3 linked regions of the Saccharomyces cerevisiae S288C genome follow. Each later gene encodes a partner of the first gene's protein in a complex. Each region holds a gene or a part of one and is shown in the gene's direction. Other genes may lie near its edges. The genes, in order: TIM22, TIM54 and TIM18.

What was found.
Region 2: TIM22 (region 1) and TIM54 share a complex: the UniProt entries of both Saccharomyces cerevisiae proteins name them as parts of the TIM22 complex.
Region 3: the proteins of TIM22 (region 1) and TIM18 are in contact, whole or in part, in a cryo-EM structure (PDB 6LO8), measured with the Saccharomyces cerevisiae proteins. Residues at the interface, in NP_010064.1 of Saccharomyces cerevisiae: Ser145 (codon at 4,172), Leu146 (codon at 4,175), Arg147 (codon at 4,178), Tyr168 (codon at 4,241), Lys169 (codon at 4,244), Ala170 (codon at 4,247), Gly171 (codon at 4,250), Pro172 (codon at 4,253), Ala175 (codon at 4,262); in NP_014940.4 of Saccharomyces cerevisiae: Ser76 (codon at 2,083), Tyr77 (codon at 2,086), Asp80 (codon at 2,095), Tyr81 (codon at 2,098), Ile84 (codon at 2,107), Leu109 (codon at 2,182), Tyr124 (codon at 2,227), Tyr162 (codon at 2,341), Glu165 (codon at 2,350), Thr166 (codon at 2,353).

The regions. Positions count from the first base shown.
Region 1 is NC_001136.10:66,467-72,345, reverse strand, and holds TIM22 (translocation channel protein TIM22), read left to right. Parts: upstream 1-3,739; coding exon 3,740-4,363; downstream 4,364-5,879. Other genes in the region: GDH2 (glutamate dehydrogenase (NAD(+))), read left to right, coding at 1-1,706; COP9 signalosome catalytic subunit RRI1, read left to right, coding at 2,027-3,349; YDL218W (uncharacterized protein), read right to left, coding at 4,900-5,853. UniProt on the Saccharomyces cerevisiae protein: Essential core component of the TIM22 complex, a complex that mediates the import and insertion of multi-pass transmembrane proteins, such as mitochondrial carrier family members, into the mitochondrial inner membrane.
Region 2 is NC_001142.9:329,510-335,864, forward strand, and holds TIM54 (Tim22-complex subunit TIM54), read left to right. Parts: upstream 1-4,755; coding exon 4,756-6,192; downstream 6,193-6,355. Other genes in the region: protein kinase IKS1, read right to left, coding at 1-612; ZAP1 (Zap1p), read right to left, coding at 922-3,564; LOG1 (Log1p), read left to right, coding at 3,848-4,585. UniProt on the Saccharomyces cerevisiae protein: Essential component of the TIM22 complex, a complex that mediates the import and insertion of multi-pass transmembrane proteins into the mitochondrial inner membrane.
Region 3 is NC_001147.6:871,488-877,178, reverse strand, and holds TIM18 (Tim18p), read left to right. Parts: upstream 1-1,857; coding exon 1,858-2,436; downstream 2,437-5,691. Other genes in the region: MUM3 (Mum3p), read right to left, coding at 141-1,580; YOR296W (uncharacterized protein), read right to left, coding at 3,108-5,691. UniProt on the Saccharomyces cerevisiae protein: Component of the TIM22 complex, a complex that mediates the import and insertion of multi-pass transmembrane proteins into the mitochondrial inner membrane.

The DNA.
Region 1 (5,879 bases):
CTATTTTGAAGACAAATTTCTTTATTACAAGAAAAGTAGCAATATCATTCAGATTAGATCCTTCCCTGGTGATGACAAAATTCGAATATCCAGAGACACCCTATGGTATATTTTTTGTCGTTGGTAATACTTTCAAAGGGTTCCATATCAGGTTCAGAGATATCGCAAGGGGCGGTATTCGTATAGTCTGTTCCAGGAATCAGGATATTTATGATTTGAATTCCAAGAACGTTATTGATGAGAACTATCAATTGGCCTCTACTCAGCAACGTAAAAATAAGGATATTCCAGAGGGTGGCTCTAAAGGTGTCATCTTATTGAACCCAGGATTGGTAGAACATGACCAGACATTTGTCGCCTTTTCCCAATATGTGGATGCAATGATTGACATTCTAATCAACGATCCATTAAAGGAAAACTATGTCAACCTTTTACCAAAGGAGGAAATATTATTTTTTGGCCCAGATGAAGGAACTGCTGGTTTCGTGGATTGGGCAACTAACCATGCTCGTGTGAGGAACTGCCCATGGTGGAAATCATTTTTGACTGGAAAATCCCCATCTTTGGGTGGTATTCCCCATGACGAATATGGTATGACTTCTCTGGGTGTTCGTGCTTATGTTAATAAAATTTACGAAACTTTAAACTTGACAAATTCTACTGTTTACAAATTCCAAACTGGTGGTCCGGATGGTGATTTGGGATCCAATGAAATTCTTTTATCTTCGCCAAACGAATGTTATTTGGCAATTCTGGACGGTTCAGGTGTCCTGTGTGATCCTAAAGGTTTAGATAAAGATGAATTATGCCGCTTGGCACATGAAAGGAAAATGATTTCCGATTTCGACACTTCCAAATTATCAAACAACGGATTTTTTGTTTCTGTGGATGCAATGGATATCATGCTACCAAATGGTACAATTGTAGCTAACGGCACAACCTTCAGAAACACCTTTCATACTCAAATTTTCAAATTTGTGGATCATGTCGACATTTTTGTTCCATGCGGTGGTAGACCAAACTCAATTACTCTAAATAATCTACATTATTTTGTTGACGAAAAGACTGGGAAATGTAAAATTCCATATATTGTGGAGGGTGCCAATCTATTTATAACGCAACCTGCTAAAAATGCTTTGGAGGAACATGGCTGTATTCTGTTCAAAGATGCTTCTGCAAACAAAGGTGGTGTCACATCTTCATCAATGGAAGTGTTGGCCTCACTAGCGCTTAACGATAACGACTTCGTGCACAAATTTATTGGAGATGTTAGTGGTGAGAGGTCTGCGTTGTACAAGTCGTACGTTGTAGAAGTGCAGTCAAGAATTCAGAAAAATGCTGAATTAGAGTTTGGTCAGTTATGGAATTTGAATCAACTAAATGGAACCCACATTTCAGAAATTTCAAACCAATTGTCCTTCACTATAAACAAATTGAACGACGATCTAGTTGCTTCTCAAGAGTTGTGGCTCAATGATCTAAAATTAAGAAACTACCTATTGTTGGATAAAATAATTCCAAAAATTCTGATTGATGTTGCTGGGCCTCAGTCCGTATTGGAAAACATTCCAGAGAGCTATTTGAAAGTTCTTCTGTCGAGTTACTTATCAAGCACTTTTGTTTACCAGAACGGTATCGATGTTAACATTGGAAAATTCTTGGAATTTATTGGTGGGTTAAAAAGAGAAGCGGAGGCAAGTGCTTGAGCTTCAATAAAATTGTTTTGTATAAATTAGTTCTGCCGTCAGAAAAGAAAATTAAACATATGTGTATGTTCTTCTCAGCGTTTTATTGTGTACTAAGTAAAGTTGTTTATATGTCCATTATTTTTAATCTAAAAAAAGCATTTGATATTTTTTCCTTCGAGTTATCCATTATACTAGGCAGTTCTCCTCAGGGAGCCATGCTTCAGCTGAAACTTTAGGAAAGGCGCGCTACGCAGGAAGCGCTCTTATTAAAGGGTTTTTCAAATAAACTAAAAATGAATAACAACGATCGAAAATCAATAAAAACTGCAGGAGGCAGCATGTCACTTTCAAATAAGACTGTAAAGGAATTACGACAACTACTAAAGGAAAGGTACACCGTGGAAGATGAACTAACTGAATCTATAGCGCTATCAAGTATGCGATTCAAGCCGTCGCAAGAACCTGAATTTCATGCGCTAAGCCAATCTTCCTTGCTCAAAACTAAACTAAAACAACAAAGTAGTACAGATATTCCGAGTTACACCCACGTACTTATATCAAAATTATCATGTGAAAAGATCACCCATTATGCAGTTCGTGGAGGAAATATTGAAATCATGGGCATATTAATGGGGTTCACATTAAAAGATAATATTGTTGTAATGGATTGTTTCAATCTTCCCGTAGTAGGGACAGAAACTCGCGTAAATGCACAATTGGAGTCATACGAATATATGGTTCAATATATCGACGAGATGTATAATCATAATGACGGTGGTGATGGGCGAGATTACAAGGGCGCTAAACTGAATGTTGTTGGCTGGTTCCATTCACATCCTGGTTACGACTGTTGGTTAAGTAATATAGATATCCAAACCCAGGATTTGAACCAGAGATTCCAAGATCCATATGTCGCAATTGTGGTCGATCCCTTGAAAAGTCTGGAAGATAAAATTTTAAGAATGGGTGCATTTAGGACAATAGAAAGTAAAAGTGATGATAATAGTGCCACTTCATACTATGAACTAGAAACAATCATATTTGATTCAGAATTGAACCGAGCGCTATTTGAAACAAAGTTAAACTTACATTGCGTAATAGAGGATGATGAGTCAGAACAAATATCATTAAATAGATTGATCGATTCAATGAAGCAGTATAGCTATTTGATGGATTCCAAAAATGTTAGAACAAGGATTAAGTTGGCTACTACCAGTGAACGTGTTAGCAACGAAAATAAAAAAAACATTGACTATCAAAACCGTTCAACAAGGTCTCAGTTCTGCCTCAATACGCAAAGGGGGGATAGCACTGAAACAAGCTCCTTTGGAAGCATGTTTTCAGGTGATAATACTAGTGACGTAGATATGGAAGATAGAAACCTTACCGAGTTCGACAGTACTGACACTAGTCTGTGCATAAACGGCGAACCGAGCATTCATGTAAATCGCGTGGAAAGAAGCAGCAGGTCTACCGACAATTTTCACAATTCTAAAAAACGCATGAACAGCAATCAGGAAAGATGTCATGATGAGGGCAATGATATGTTACAGAGAAATGTCTTGGAGACAGATTATGCAAGAGCAAAAAATCGAATACTTGCGTCAAAGATAAAACAATATGAGCGGTTACGTTTTTACAAGGACACCTTTACATTATGAATTCCTAACGTTGCTCCAATGACGCTGCAATAGCTTATGTTTATCTGCAACGTACTTTTAATAGTTATTCCTTCTTGAATCTCTATAAGTATATCTATACCGGGTGACAATTTGATATTTTCGTACGCCGTTATGTGTTGGTTTTTGGTCTTACTGATAAAATGGCATCGAGCTTACAACTGAAGAGAAAGACGATGCATCAGTCAACTTAATTCTCTAATAAAACAGACAGCATTTCCTCGGATCCATTTCGTACATATAAAATCCGAAGCTTTTCAGGACAAAATACTATTTTTCTGTCACTACTAAACGGGATAGTACTAAACGGGATAGTAGAGATAGCTGCCAAATAAGATCAAGAAATTGTGATTTTAAATACTTTATACGAAGATGGTGTACACAGGATTTGGTTTGGAGCAGATAAGTCCAGCTCAAAAGAAACCTTATAATGAACTAACTCCGGAAGAACAGGGTGAACGGGGTGCTGAAATGATCATGAACTTCATGACTTCCTGTCCTGGAAAATCAGTTGTGAGTGGTGTAACAGGGTTTGCACTGGGTGGTGTTTTAGGCCTGTTCATGGCGTCAATGGCATATGATACACCTCTTCATACACCTACACCTGCAAATACAGCAGCAACTGCAACTGCGGGAAATATAGGTGTGGGTGGAATATCAAGAACAGTTCAGCAAATATCTGATTTACCTTTCCGGCAGCAAATGAAACTTCAATTTACCGATATGGGTAAAAAATCCTACTCTAGTGCTAAGAATTTTGGCTACATTGGTATGATATATGCTGGGGTGGAGTGTGTCATAGAGTCACTTAGAGCTAAAAATGATATTTACAACGGAGTAACCGCAGGGTTTTTTACCGGTGCTGGGCTGGCATACAAAGCTGGACCACAAGCTGCCTTAATGGGTGGTGCCGGGTTTGCTGCCTTTTCAGCTGCAATTGATTTGTATATGAAAAGTGAGGATGGTAGACCACCTCAAAACGATTTTAAAGAATGAATAGCCAATTTCGACGAACGATGAATGTTTTATATTTGTAAATATCACCTATCTTAATATTCTGCACGACCGTCCCAGAATTTAAGAACGCTTAATAATTTCCAGAACTACTGTTACTAGTAAAGCAAAAAAATTCCCTGGGAGAATTAATCATGCTTTAACTAGACTCTGGGCCGATCATTTTTGCTGGAAGAAAATGGGAAGTGTAAAAACGATACCCTTTCCAATTTTCCCATGTCGATGAATTCGAGGCGTTAGAGACTGTCGCTAAACTCAAGTGATAGTCACACTTTAATATTAATAAATTGGAAGATTTCAGTCACATATTTGACAGAGGAAAATATAAAAATAAGAAGTAATAAAAGTAAATCATTATATATAAAAAAAATTAAGCATTATTCACACCTGATAAGGATTTTCTAAAAGACGACGCCATTATTAGAACAGGAGCAATTCAAATCGTTAAGCAAAGAAAAGAAAAAGAAAAAGAAAAAGTATGTGAAGGGTATAGACGAACAAAAAGGAAATCATTGAATTTATGGCATTTGATTGACGTTCCTGTTTGGTTCTGCAGTGCTACCACTCATAGCGCCAGAGTGAGCTCCTTCTGTGACCTTTTCTTGATAAGACCGATCACCTGACTCATCCGTAGAGTAAGCGTGCTGGTCCACTGCACTGTTAGCGACATTCGCAGAACCAGGATTACGATCGTTGGTGGTGTAACGCGTCTTAGGGTCCGCTGTTGTTGTGGTGTAACGTGTGTTGGTGGTGGTAGTATGGTACTGCCCATTGGGGTCATTAGTTGCATAGCGTGCGTCGCCATTCGGTTCAGATGTGTAAGCAGCATTATCACCTGCACCTGCTTCGACATCACCGGTCCTAACATTGGTGTTATCGTAAGCAGCTGTTTCTTCAAAAGGCTCGCTTAAAGCTAGTCCGCTCCACCTATGGAGCTTTGTACCCATAGAAGCGCCGCTTCTCCACATTCCTTGGGTTTGATAACGCTTCCTGATAGGTGTTAAGACATTAATTCCCAGTAATATCACACTGATCAAAAACAGTACAAAGCAAAGGCCAGAAAAGGCGATTGCCGCCTGAGAAGAATTACATGCTCTTCTATGACTGTCAGCAGTATATTGGCCACTGTACGGATTATAGTATAATCCGTCTGCATTAGTGTTGCTACAGCTACGTTCACCTTGAGCTTTGGCAAGAACAACGAAAGCTGCTAGCCATAGCATACAAACGATCAATTCGGCACAGAAGTACATTCCTATGTAGATCAATGTGGGTAGGGCCAGACACAAAATACCTAAGGCAATCAGATAAAACACACTAATGACACCTGTTGCCAATGTGAAGTTGGTTTTCTTATTACCTCTATTTCCATAGGCGTGGATGGCATACGCCAAAAGTGACATCACCAAAACCGATGATGCAAATTGAGAAAATCTCAAAAGTGTTAAGAAAACTCCAGTAACTCGTTTCATAACGTTGATATAATATATCTATTTGG
Region 2 (6,355 bases), on another chromosome or scaffold:
TAGTGCAAAAACACCTAATTCAGTATTACCAATTGTGTGTACAACTTTGTAAACAGAACCTCTTGCACCATTTCCCAGCAAAGACAATATTTTGAAAAATTTACGAAAGTATCCGGGGATAAACAAATCATCTGGAATAAAGTATTTGTTTTTGCTGAACTGTCCCTGCTTATTGTTACTATCGTTTTGTAGGGCGTAGTGCCGATGATTTCTTTCCAATGACTGAAAATATCTTCTTGAAAAGCTTGAATTGGCAAATTCAAATCCAAGTGGCACAGTGTTCTCTGGAATACTGAGCCTACTGCTTTCTGATTCTACTCCAGCAGAGGCTCGACGATGAAGTTGTCTTCTGTTTATAATATCAGGGTTAATTTCCGTACCACATTGCGGGCACACATAGGAAGCAATAGGGCTTTTGTATTGATGAATCCCTGAAGGAAAGTCCAGTGCTGATAAAGATGCAGTCTGGTCTTCATTTAGTTCAGAGTCATTATTACTGTTGTCCTGTTGGAAAAATGATAAAGTTCCTGAGGTTGGATTAACAACCACCACTGATTTAGAATTAGGATCATCTAAAATCAGCGAACCTTCTTCATATGGTACTAAACTCATTTCTAAGTTCTACTTATGCTATCCCTCAAACTATATATCTAATAGTGTTTCTTCGGTTACCTAGTTGTCACTCATAGGATCTATATATACAATGTCCTTCCCCCCCACCCCCTTTTCTGAAACGTATACAAAAAATAAAGCTTGAAATACGTTATTACGTAAAAAAAGTGTACTGTAAAAGCTTACAAAAAAGAGTTTGCGAAAAATTATAAATAAAAAGTAGTCTAGGTAAAATATGAAATGTTTCTAATTATGCATTTATGTGATCCTGAAAACCGCCCTTCTTACGTTGGACCATGATGATCACATTTATAAATATGGTTTTCTTTCCAATGCGCATTTCACTTTCTGTGAGTTCAATTTTCCCAAATCGTCAAAGCTTTTGGAACAGTCAGAGCACTTGTATTTTTTCTGATGGGTCTTAATATGTTTGCTCAAATTTGACGATTCGTTGAATCTCTTACCACAAATCTTGCATTGTAAAGGTTTTTCACCAGTATGGGTTCTTATATGAATCTTCAAAGAACTTGAAATCGCGAATTTTTTATTACAAATGTGACATTTGTAAGGTTTTTCGCCAGAGTGTGTCCTGGTATGCTGAACTAAAGTTTCTTCGCTTGAAAAACACCTTTTACATGTCTTGCACTTATAAGGTTTGTATTTCGAATGCACTTTTAAATGACGGATTAATTTTTGTCTTTGGGGGAACGTACGATGGCAGTCATGCCACAAGCATTGGTATTCAGACTTACCCCGGGTTAAATGTACTGCTTCTAAATGGTCGTTTAATTCCTGAGCACTGGAAAATGACTTATTGCAACCATCCCATTGGCAAATCACCTGTTCCGGCTGCTTGATTGGCGGTATATTGGAAACATCATTTGCAGACGTCATATCAGGTGCTCCATCTGCTTTAGAAACTTCGTGTGTTTGTGGGTTGGGGCAATGTAGTAAGTGATGTTTTTCCTTTGATATACTACCAGGCAAAAATGAGTCTGGGTTGGCAAATTGAATATCAAAATTGATACCATGTTGACAATTAATATGGTTCACTATGGAACATGTATCATCTCCAAGGAAATCACAGTCCTCCCAATTACAAGCTAATGGTTCCATAGGGTGTTTGAAATCTTGAGAGACATGATCCTTCAAAAGATGTCTTTGTAGGTCAAATAGTGAGCTACAAGACTCAGGACATTCTTTCCATTTGCATTTTAAGTCATTGTTTTTCTCTTCTTTAAAACACCAGTTGAAATTTATAGTGCTTGTTGTCTGTATAGGAGGAGAGATGCTAGAAGGTAATGAGTCTTCCAAAGAGCTGAAATCAGTAGATTCTAGATCTTTTGTAGGCCAAGATCTACGATTTTTCTGATTCTGATGAGTGACTTTGGGTAGCGAAGGGGGCTCACTTTGATTTCTAAATCTTTCATAACTATACTCTCTTGAAATTAAGTCATTTAAATCGTTGTTAGTTAGATCGGCTGTTGTGTTCGCCGCGCTAATCCCTGAATTGTTCACAATATTGTTTCTATTTGGTTTGTGAGAATGAAACTGTATTCTATGGTGATGGTGTTGATGATCAGTTGAAGTTGCTCCAGCCGTATTGTTATTGCTTCCATTAAGATTATTTTTAGGGTTGCATCTATTAATGCTTGATAATAGAAGATTCATTGTTTGGTTACCGTTTTCATTATTTCCTGTGCTCGAACCATCGCAGCCGTTACCGGCATTATTGTGGTCGTGGTGGTTAATGTGTTTTCCAAACGGTACTTCATACAAAGAAGAAATATTGCATAAATCTTCCAAAATCTTCAAATCCATATCAGTATTTAAGATATGTTCGTGATAAGCATGATTTGTACCTTGCAAAGTGTTTGTAGGTTTTCGTAAAGATGAACATTTGGGTGGTAGTTGAGGTGGCTTTGACTCTAAATGCATATGCTTAGAACAAGGTTGATTATCAGTGCTCTCCTCACAAAATTTGCAGTATTTATGGAAAACGTCATCATTATTTGATGATTGATGATCTTGAACAAACTTGTGACCACTAGTCGCGCTCGTGCTAGCCGTGCATGGGGTGTCACAGGTCAAATCGCAATCAATCTCCGATAAGTGAGACATCAGCTGAGAAAAGCTATCTGGTACAGTATTATTGTGATTGTGAGAGTCGTGATTGGTACTATTACAGTACTGATCATGAAGGTTAAAATTTGGCATCAAGTGATCGTTCTTTACATCTGTGAATATTGCAACATCATTGCCGTTCTCAGATATGTCTTTCTTTGTCGGTTGATCAGATTCACCTTGTTTTATATTAGCCTCACTTTTGGGATGAGTTTCGTCACAACATATTTCCAAAATCTTGGGCGTACAATAACAATCATCGGATCCAGGTGGTGGGTTCGGTTTATTTTTCTTGGAAGAGGGCAGCAGTATCAGATCGTCGTTAAACCAAGAATCTTTTCTACGTGGTAGGTCGCTTTTAGAATTCTGTTGGGGACTTGTCGGATCAGAAGCTACCGAATGGAAATTGTTTGCAAAAGAATGATTATTAGAATTATACGTTGCAGTATCATTATATTTTGTTAATGACGGATTATTGTGATAATTCAAGAACTCGAAATGTTGGCAGTCGGTGTACTCCTTGCATTTCTCATTGACGTGGCAATCACCACCCATATCATGGCTAGCTCCAGATGCAAATGCGGAAGTAGCGGCATCAGCAACAGCTGCGGCTGCAGGTGTTGCCGAAGCACTACTGTCGTTCACAGGCGCGCTGTGGTGAAGGTGACCATGGATATAGGTCAGGTTGTTGTAGTTATGGATGTGCCCGTGGACAATGCCTTCTTTACCTATCGTCAGAGCATCAGGCTTGGCAGAAGCAGCAGTGGCCGCACTCGTGGCCATCGAGTCATCGCGCTTGGGGGAGTCCCTGGGAGTCAACGCATCCATTAGTTCCTATCCTTCTTCTATTTAAAAAACCGTAACACATAAAAAGTAAAAGTGTAATGCTTCCGTCTCGCCGCTGGCCTATATTCACAGTGACTGCAGTTGCATCTTATATTGCCAAGCACGTTTCATCATGACCTTTAGGGTAGATGACTGCTGTCAACTACTCCGTCTGCAGTGATATATAATCATGTTTTGGGCGTTTAAGGAAGGAGAATTATTTCCAACAGTTGAATAGGAAGATCCCTAGAGTAAATCGCAGGCAATCCAGTACTAAGAAACGGCGATGACAATGGAAAAAAATGGAGGTAATAGCAGCCGTGGTGGCCAAGTAGGCGGCAAGTCTGTGTGTGTTTACTGCGGGTCTTCATTTGGCGCTAAGGCGCTATACTCAGAAAGTGCAGAAGAATTAGGAGCCCTTTTCCATAAGCTGGGATGGAAATTGGTATACGGTGGAGGCACTACTGGTTTGATGGGCAAGATAGCAAGGTCTACGATGGGACCTGATTTAAGCGGACAGGTTCACGGTATCATTCCAAATGCACTTGTGTCTAAGGAAAGGACAGACGAGGATAAAGAAGATGTTAATAAAGCATTGTTGGAGTCTGTAGAAAATCATAAGGGCGCCACTCCTATTTCTGAAGAGTATGGGGAAACAACGATTGTACCAGATATGCATACGAGAAAAAGAATGATGGCAAATTTGAGTGACGCGTTTGTTGCTATGCCTGGTGGATACGGGACTTTTGAAGAAATCATGGAATGTATCACGTGGTCGCAACTGGGGATTCATAATAAACCAATTATCTTGTTCAATATCGATGGGTTCTATGACAAATTATTGGAGTTCCTCAAACACTCTATTCAAGAACGGTTCATCAGTGTGAAGAATGGTGAAATCATTCAAGTTGCCTCCACTCCGCAGGAAGTTGTTGATAAAATAGAGAAGTACGTCGTTCCAGAGGGCCGTTTCAATTTGAATTGGAGCGACGAAGGTCACGCTCACGAGGATTGTGCTAAATAATAGAAACGTAAGTCATGTATCTAGTTTAAACGATCTGTATAGATAATGTGGTGAAAAATCCAAATTTTTAGGAGCTGTCTTTCTAAGCCCGAAGGCTGGAAAAAATAGTACTGATGGCAAAGACATCATAGCTTTAAAGTCCATTGTTCTCAAAAGAAGCTCAATAGACCATGTCTTCTGAATCAGGAAAGCCTATTGCTAAGCCTATTAGGAAGCCTGGCTATACCAATCCGGCTTTAAAAGCCCTTGGTATACCCGCCTTGAGGCTGCCTTCTCGAAACTGGATGATCTTTTGGTCTGTGTTAACAGTATCCATCGGTGGCATAGCCTATGACAAATACAAGCAACGTCAGATTCTGAGCCATGCAACAGACTTGGTGAAGCCTTTGGCAGAGGAGTCCATGGAGGTAGACAAAGTGCCACGAAAGATCACTGTTTTTATTGCACCTCCTCCAAATGATTATCTGGAGAGTTCGTTGAAAGTTTGGAGACGATATGTTAAGCCTGTACTGTATTATGCAGGGTTGGACTATGAATTAGTTCAAGAGGATAGGCAAGGGATTATTAGAACTAATGTAGCCAACAGAATCAGAGAATTGAGAAAGGAAATATTGGCATCGACGGATGGGCAGCCAGTTAAAGAGCCTAACCAAACGGTAGCAAAACCAAGTGGTTCTTCAACCAGTAAAATTTCATCACTACTACCGTTCAATAAAATCATTCAAGATCCTGCTGAAGAAGATGACTCGTTTGATCCAGAAATCGGTAAAAAGTTCAAGGAGAACTTCGACTGGAGAAACGTTATAGGTATCTTCTATACAATGCCAAAACCGAAGCATATAATAAGTGAAGACGCCCTGACAAAGGACCCTATATTATCTGGTGGTGTTATTTGTTTAGGTAGAGGCGCCTATAAGGAGTACATTGCCGGTATTCACGAAGGCTTGCTTGGACCCATCGAGAAGACCGAAAAAACAGGATCCACTGAGCCTAAGATGACTGGGGTTGTAGAAGCAAATCAAATAGAATCAAAGGTAAGTGAATCCGGTGCTACGGAACTGGTGGATGCCGAGAAAGAGACTGCTTTGGAAGAGGCCAAAGTACAAGATGATCTAAAGGTTGATGAAGAAAACAGCTCAGAGGATTCGCAAAAATTTTTGAAGCCATTTATTTCTTCAGACCAATACCCTGACCTGCAAATCGCTTCGGAATTACAAACTCCAAATGGCGAATTCATAAGAAACCCCAATACAAATATCCCGCTTCTGATTAATCAGCCGTTATTGGTCATTCCAATACCTAACTTGATAGGTTTTACTACCATTCCAAGGAGAATACATCGTTTTTACCAGAAGCGTTTCTACGTAGAGGACGTGTGTTCAAGTGTAGTTAACTGTGTTCGACAAACCCGTATAAGACCGTTTGATATTGCAAAGGATATTGATTTGGCGAAGGACGAAGAAAAAGATTGGCCACAGAACTGGGTCAAACAGGGTAAAGAAAAGAACAGCGAATGGACCCAAGAATTAGTATGTGATCCTAGAATCACGAAGCATATGTTTGTTTACGAAAAACCACCCAAGGAAGAGCCAGAATCAGATATTTAATTGGATATATATTATGTTTTATCATCATGCACGATCGACGTTATGTCTGACATATACCAAACCCTTTTCGAAGATTTCCCTTTACTCATGTTGAAATAGTTTTTATATATGCACACATATACATATATATAAAATCTGTAAATATAATAAAATGTGTACATTG
Region 3 (5,691 bases), on another chromosome or scaffold:
AAGCATTCTTAATAATGTACATTATTCTATCATGATCGTTTTATGGTTTTTTTCGTTTATTTTATCATTTTTTTTTTTTTTTAGCTTTTTTTCCTCTATAGAAAGTGAAGTACACACGTATATATTATGATTCAGGATCTTTATTTGGTCTCAATTTTAATATTTTTTTGCAAGGACTCGATTAATCTATCTTTTTCTATCCACCTATTTTCAAGCCACTTTTCTAAACTCTCATCATTGTATGCGAGTAATGGTTGAATTTGATGCTTTTTTACATTTACCATCACAACAATGGGGTCCTTATCCTTTATGTTGTTTTCAGACTCCATTTCTGGTTGAATCATCTCAAAGATTGTCGGAGATATTTGCTCTAATTGATAACCTTTATGAAGTCTCAAATCTCCGTTGGTATGATCATGCCCACTATCAGTATATTTGACTCGGTAATAAATTATGGTGACATCATATATGTATGGATTGATTCGTACCACCTTGGGCTTGCCGCTGCTGATTTCTTCCTTTTTTGTAAGTAAGTATGAATTATCTACGATCATGGGCGGCGTCGTCTTATCGGATACCTTGGAAGACTCCATTTTCATGCTCTTGTGAACTAATTTGTCAAGTTCTCTGTGAAACAGGTATCGGGCCTCTTTGATTATATTGTTACGGTTTTTCTTTCTTTTGATGTTTTTAATTGATGAAAAAGCAGCCATCAAAGTGGTAAAGTTTTTAAATCTTGGGTATAATAAATTATAGAAGTTTATAACAAAGGGAAAATCTTGGTGTAATTTTCTTTGAATAATTGATAGTTCCAAACTCATGATATTGACTTCGGGAAAAATAGTAATAGCTTGATTGTTTTGTCTTTCTAAAATATCTCTTAACTCATTCGATGAGAGTGCGAGTGTTTCATCTTTGAAGAATATGTTCTTTAGTAGATCCAATCGAGGAAAGTTAAACATTTTTCCCCAACCAAGAAATTTTAACTGAGGCCATTCAGCTAGATCTTCCCCCTTCCTCAGCTTTTGTAGAAATTCCCATTTAGTATAAAACTTGGTGGGACAACTTTTGAGAAAAAGGTAATTAATCAATGTGTAGTCATTCACTGATCGATGATTACATATCATTAATGTGGTTTGGAATTTGCTATCTTTAAAAAAGTTTAGGTCATCACTTCCCTCGGTTATGAAAATTTGGACGTTTTTTTTTTTTTCGAAGGTCATTTCAACTAAATGTAGCTGAAACCAAATTTCAATCGCCTCCAGCACCTTGTCTAAAGTTGGTATTATTTTCAGTTTACTATATGTCAGTGCCCTCGAGAGCAGCCGAATTTTGTACTCACCTATTATGGGCACATGCGACCAAAATCTGTCATATAGTAAATGCAGTCTAAGACAGAAGGAATTCGTGTTAATGAACTGTAGGAATTGATTGATTGCAGTAAAAAAAGAATGAAGGTAAAAATAGCCAAAAAGAATAAGCAACCTTGGGGTCAGACTCAACCAATCAGAAATATCTAACTGTTTGAACTGGACCCTAGAACCGACCATATATGTTTCGAAGAAATCAACAAAACCCATCTTAAAGTTATACCTTTCGTTTAGTTTTCTGTGTGGAAAAGAGAAATTTTATTTGATTAAGATTAACAATGAATCTATTATGGTGCATATCTTGCCCTGTTAACTTTCAATTTTTCATTTTGTGTCGCTACATGCCTTGTTGACACTCGGTTTTTTTGAAAAACAAACCATTCTCGCAAAAGATCGGATAAAAATGAAAACTTCCAGACAGTGGAATGCACACATTAATTAACGGTGATGCGAGGTGCAACAACTGAGTAATTTAATACCTTTGGTAATGCTATTGTTTCCTGGCTTGAAGCCTGTTCTTAATGCTTCCACTGTCATTGTAAATCCTGTACGAGCTGTTTTTCCAGGATTAGTACTTTCAACCAAAAGATCCTTTTATAGCATTAATCGTTTAAATGCTGAAAATAAAATAAACGATATTGCAAATACGTCAAAAGAGGCATCCTCTTCAGTGCAGATGTTTAAGCCCCCAGAGTTCTCTCAATTTAAGGACTCTTATCAAAAAGACTATGAGAGAATAGCAAAATATACTTTGATTCCATTAACAATGGTACCTTTTTATGCCTCCTTTACCGGCGGGGTTATAAATCCTTTACTCGATGCGTCTTTATCGTCCATTTTTTTGATATATTTACAGTATGGCTTCACAAGTTGTATTATTGACTATATACCGAAGGAAAAGTATCCAAGATGGCATAAGCTCGCCCTTTATTGCCTCTATGGAGGATCCATGTTGTCCCTGTACGGTATCTACGAATTGGAAACGAAAAATAATGGTTTTGTTGACCTGGTAAAGAAACTTTGGAATGAAAATGATGACCATTTGTATATATTTGGAAGAAACTGACTCACCCATACTTTTTCTTTTTTTTTGCATTTCTAAGATTTCATTTTTAGAGTCAGATTCCCCATGAACTTAACTTAGGAGAGATTTTATAAAAAGACAAATAAGCAATAAAATATATCCTTCTTCTCGAAATCCAGATATATATGTATATATCGATCTGCTTGGATTGGTACAAGACGATCAATTCTTGTCGAGTGAAACGCCTAGGGATACAGAAAGGAAAAGTAGGAATTCGTGATTGCTAGTATTCTCATTCTGTCTAAAGTGCCTTTTTTATTATTATCTGTATGCTTTTTGTTTCTTTAATGATGAGGAACGAATTTTTATACTACAAAAAAATAATGTTTACAATTTTTATCAATGTATTGAAACATTTTAATATTTGTTAGGATTCGCCTTTATTTCACAATCAAAAGGAAACACATAAAAAAAGTGTCATGCTCTACGTGAATAAAGAATTAGTGAAATAATAATAAGGCAATCAGAATACAACTATCGCACTATCTGCGAAACTTTTTACTATATGGGTATAAATGCTAAACGGAAAACTTGTCCATAAAACTATGATTCTTATAATAAACGATGATACACGTTCATTCATTTTTTATCGACGCTCAAATATAGGGTGGAACTGTTTAGTCAGCACCCCATGTATATATATAAAAGAGACTTCAGTTTCTGCCCTTTTTTCCTGTAGGAGTGACCGCTCTACTCACCGCTCTTCTATTTTTCATAGTATTAACAAGTTCTTTTCTGTCATGTAAAATTCGATGAACGTAATCATGTTGGCCTTTCGCGATCAATATTCTCAATATAATATTCATTACTTCTGCATCACGTTCCAGTTGTTCCTTAGGCTCTTTTACAATGTTAGCTACTAGCGACTTTTTTCGAGATATTGTTCCAGCGGATTTATTCGTAAAAGTAATCGGAGTTTTCTTCAGATAAAACCATCTCAAATACTCTTCATATAGGGGAATCAATCGCTGAACTTCATCCTTCAATTCGGAGACACTTTTATCATAAAAAGCTGGGATCAGCAATATATTTTGGTAATACTCATTTTTCAATTCTGCAAGAGGGGGACCTTCTCCTTTATTATGAAAAAAATCTACACACAGCGCATCAAGCCATTTGAATACAGCCTCGATTTCCGCTTGAGTCAAAGGACGACCGTATCCTGATACCGTTTTTGTGGTTGAAAGAGTATTTTCCCACAAAGATTTCTTTGCTGAACGCAATATATTAACTTTAGCGCTATTCAATGCAGGTAGAAGAAGTAAATCAGCGTTCTCTAAAACGAGGTTCCACGCTCTTAGCATTACCATAAACAACAATCTCTGTGAAAGTTCTGATGCCAGAATGTTCAAATTTGCGTTTAAATAGTCAAATAGTGGTAAAATTGCGTCATATACTGCTTCGTCAGACGCAAGTGCAGAACCATGGTGACCACACACTGTTTTTAATGTGGTTCTCGAGAAGGCAAATGCAATAAAATCAGAAAATTTGTTGACTATTAGGTTTATTGCACGATCTCTTGACCTGCTAAAAGATCTATATATTCTTCCCATAGAAGAAACGGCATCTATTTTCTCACTTTCCAGGGATATTTGGCAATATAAAGTTCCCTGCGGATTCAATGTGAGCGAAAAATCGATAGGAAACCCATCATCCTTGAGCTTTCTCGGAGTGAATTTCATATTGGCTTTTCCACATAGATCATCTTCCGCTAAATTCTTTAATCTGCTGTGTGGGTGGTGCCATATAGTAAACATAATATCGTTCGACTTTCCGAATGGAGACTCAAACACAAACTCTTCGTCCCATTTGGGAGTAATCGATCTTGCAACAATCTTAGTAGTACCTATTTCCCGTTGTAAAGTGATGTTTCTCATGGAAACGTAGGTGTTTGAAAGCCCCGTTTTGCTGAAGCCTTTAATATTTTCAGCACCGATAATTCGAAGGGTATAAACTTGCTTCATATTCTGGTCATCGAATGACTTCCCATTATCCTCTAAATTATGGGAGGAGTGGTACTGTGCAATAACAGAGGATATTTTTGATGGATCTGCTTTTTCTTCGAAGCTCTCTAACAGAAAAAGTGTTTTATCAAGATCATTTAGCAGTACGCACGTACGCTTCTTGAACTGATATGGAGCAGGAGCTACCATCTTCGGAGTTGATTTAACTACATTTTTCAAATCTTCAAACAGCCTACTACTTCTTGATTTTTCATGATTTACGTTAGCGTTATTCAGGCTAAGTGAAGATCGAGTGTCTGAGCTTTCTAAAGAGTAGGATGGTTCATCACCCTCCTGTAAATCTCTCTGGATCAATTCCATTAGTTGAGCTGAGTATGAAAGCATACCATCTGAAAACGCCTTTAATATTACCGTGATCATTTGTGCCAGTTGAAATTCATTTTGCCAACCAAATTTCTCCAACATGCTAGTTGATTCATTTATCATTTTGAATATGTCCAAAACTGATCTACTGAAATGGTCCTGGTCATTTACGGGTTGCCAATTCTCGCTTTCTAGTGAAGATTTAATAACTTTTTGAACATTACGGCTCACATCATCACATAATCGAGTCAAATATTTGATGAAATAATTTTCAAGGTTAAAGAAAAATTTCCCTTTTGGCTTTACCTGCAGGTAAATCTGTCTCAGTTCTTTCAGTACATCATACATATCTAGCGCATCTATTGGACCCAACTTTTGTCCAGTCATTTTCATGGTACTCTTTTCAGCGGTTTTTATTAGATTTAAAGAATCCGAACCGTATACTTCACATAGAAATACTGCGCATTGTCTAGGCAGAGATATTTCGTCCAATAAAGGTTTATTGTAACGTTTTTGAATCGCTTTTATGGCTTCTATAATTGTTTCTACGAGATTCTGAACGTTTTGAATTTCTATTGCGTTAGCCTTTAGCATATCCTGCAGAAGGGAGACAAAATAATCCTCTGATGCTTTAAAAAGAGTCTTCTTAAATAATTTGATCCAGTATTTCTTTACAGCTACGGACTGCGTTTCATAGAATTCCATTACTGGATCCCCAACAATGTTTGAATAATAAAATGACAAAACTGGAGAAAATTTTGGCTTTGTACCTGAAAATATCGCAGTTAAAAGGTTATTTATTGTCCTCATAGACTGATCAGTCGTATGAAAAAGGTTTGCAGCCCATAAATAGCGATCCTGAGCATTCCAAGCGGATGGATCCAGATTATCCTCTGAACATAAATATTTA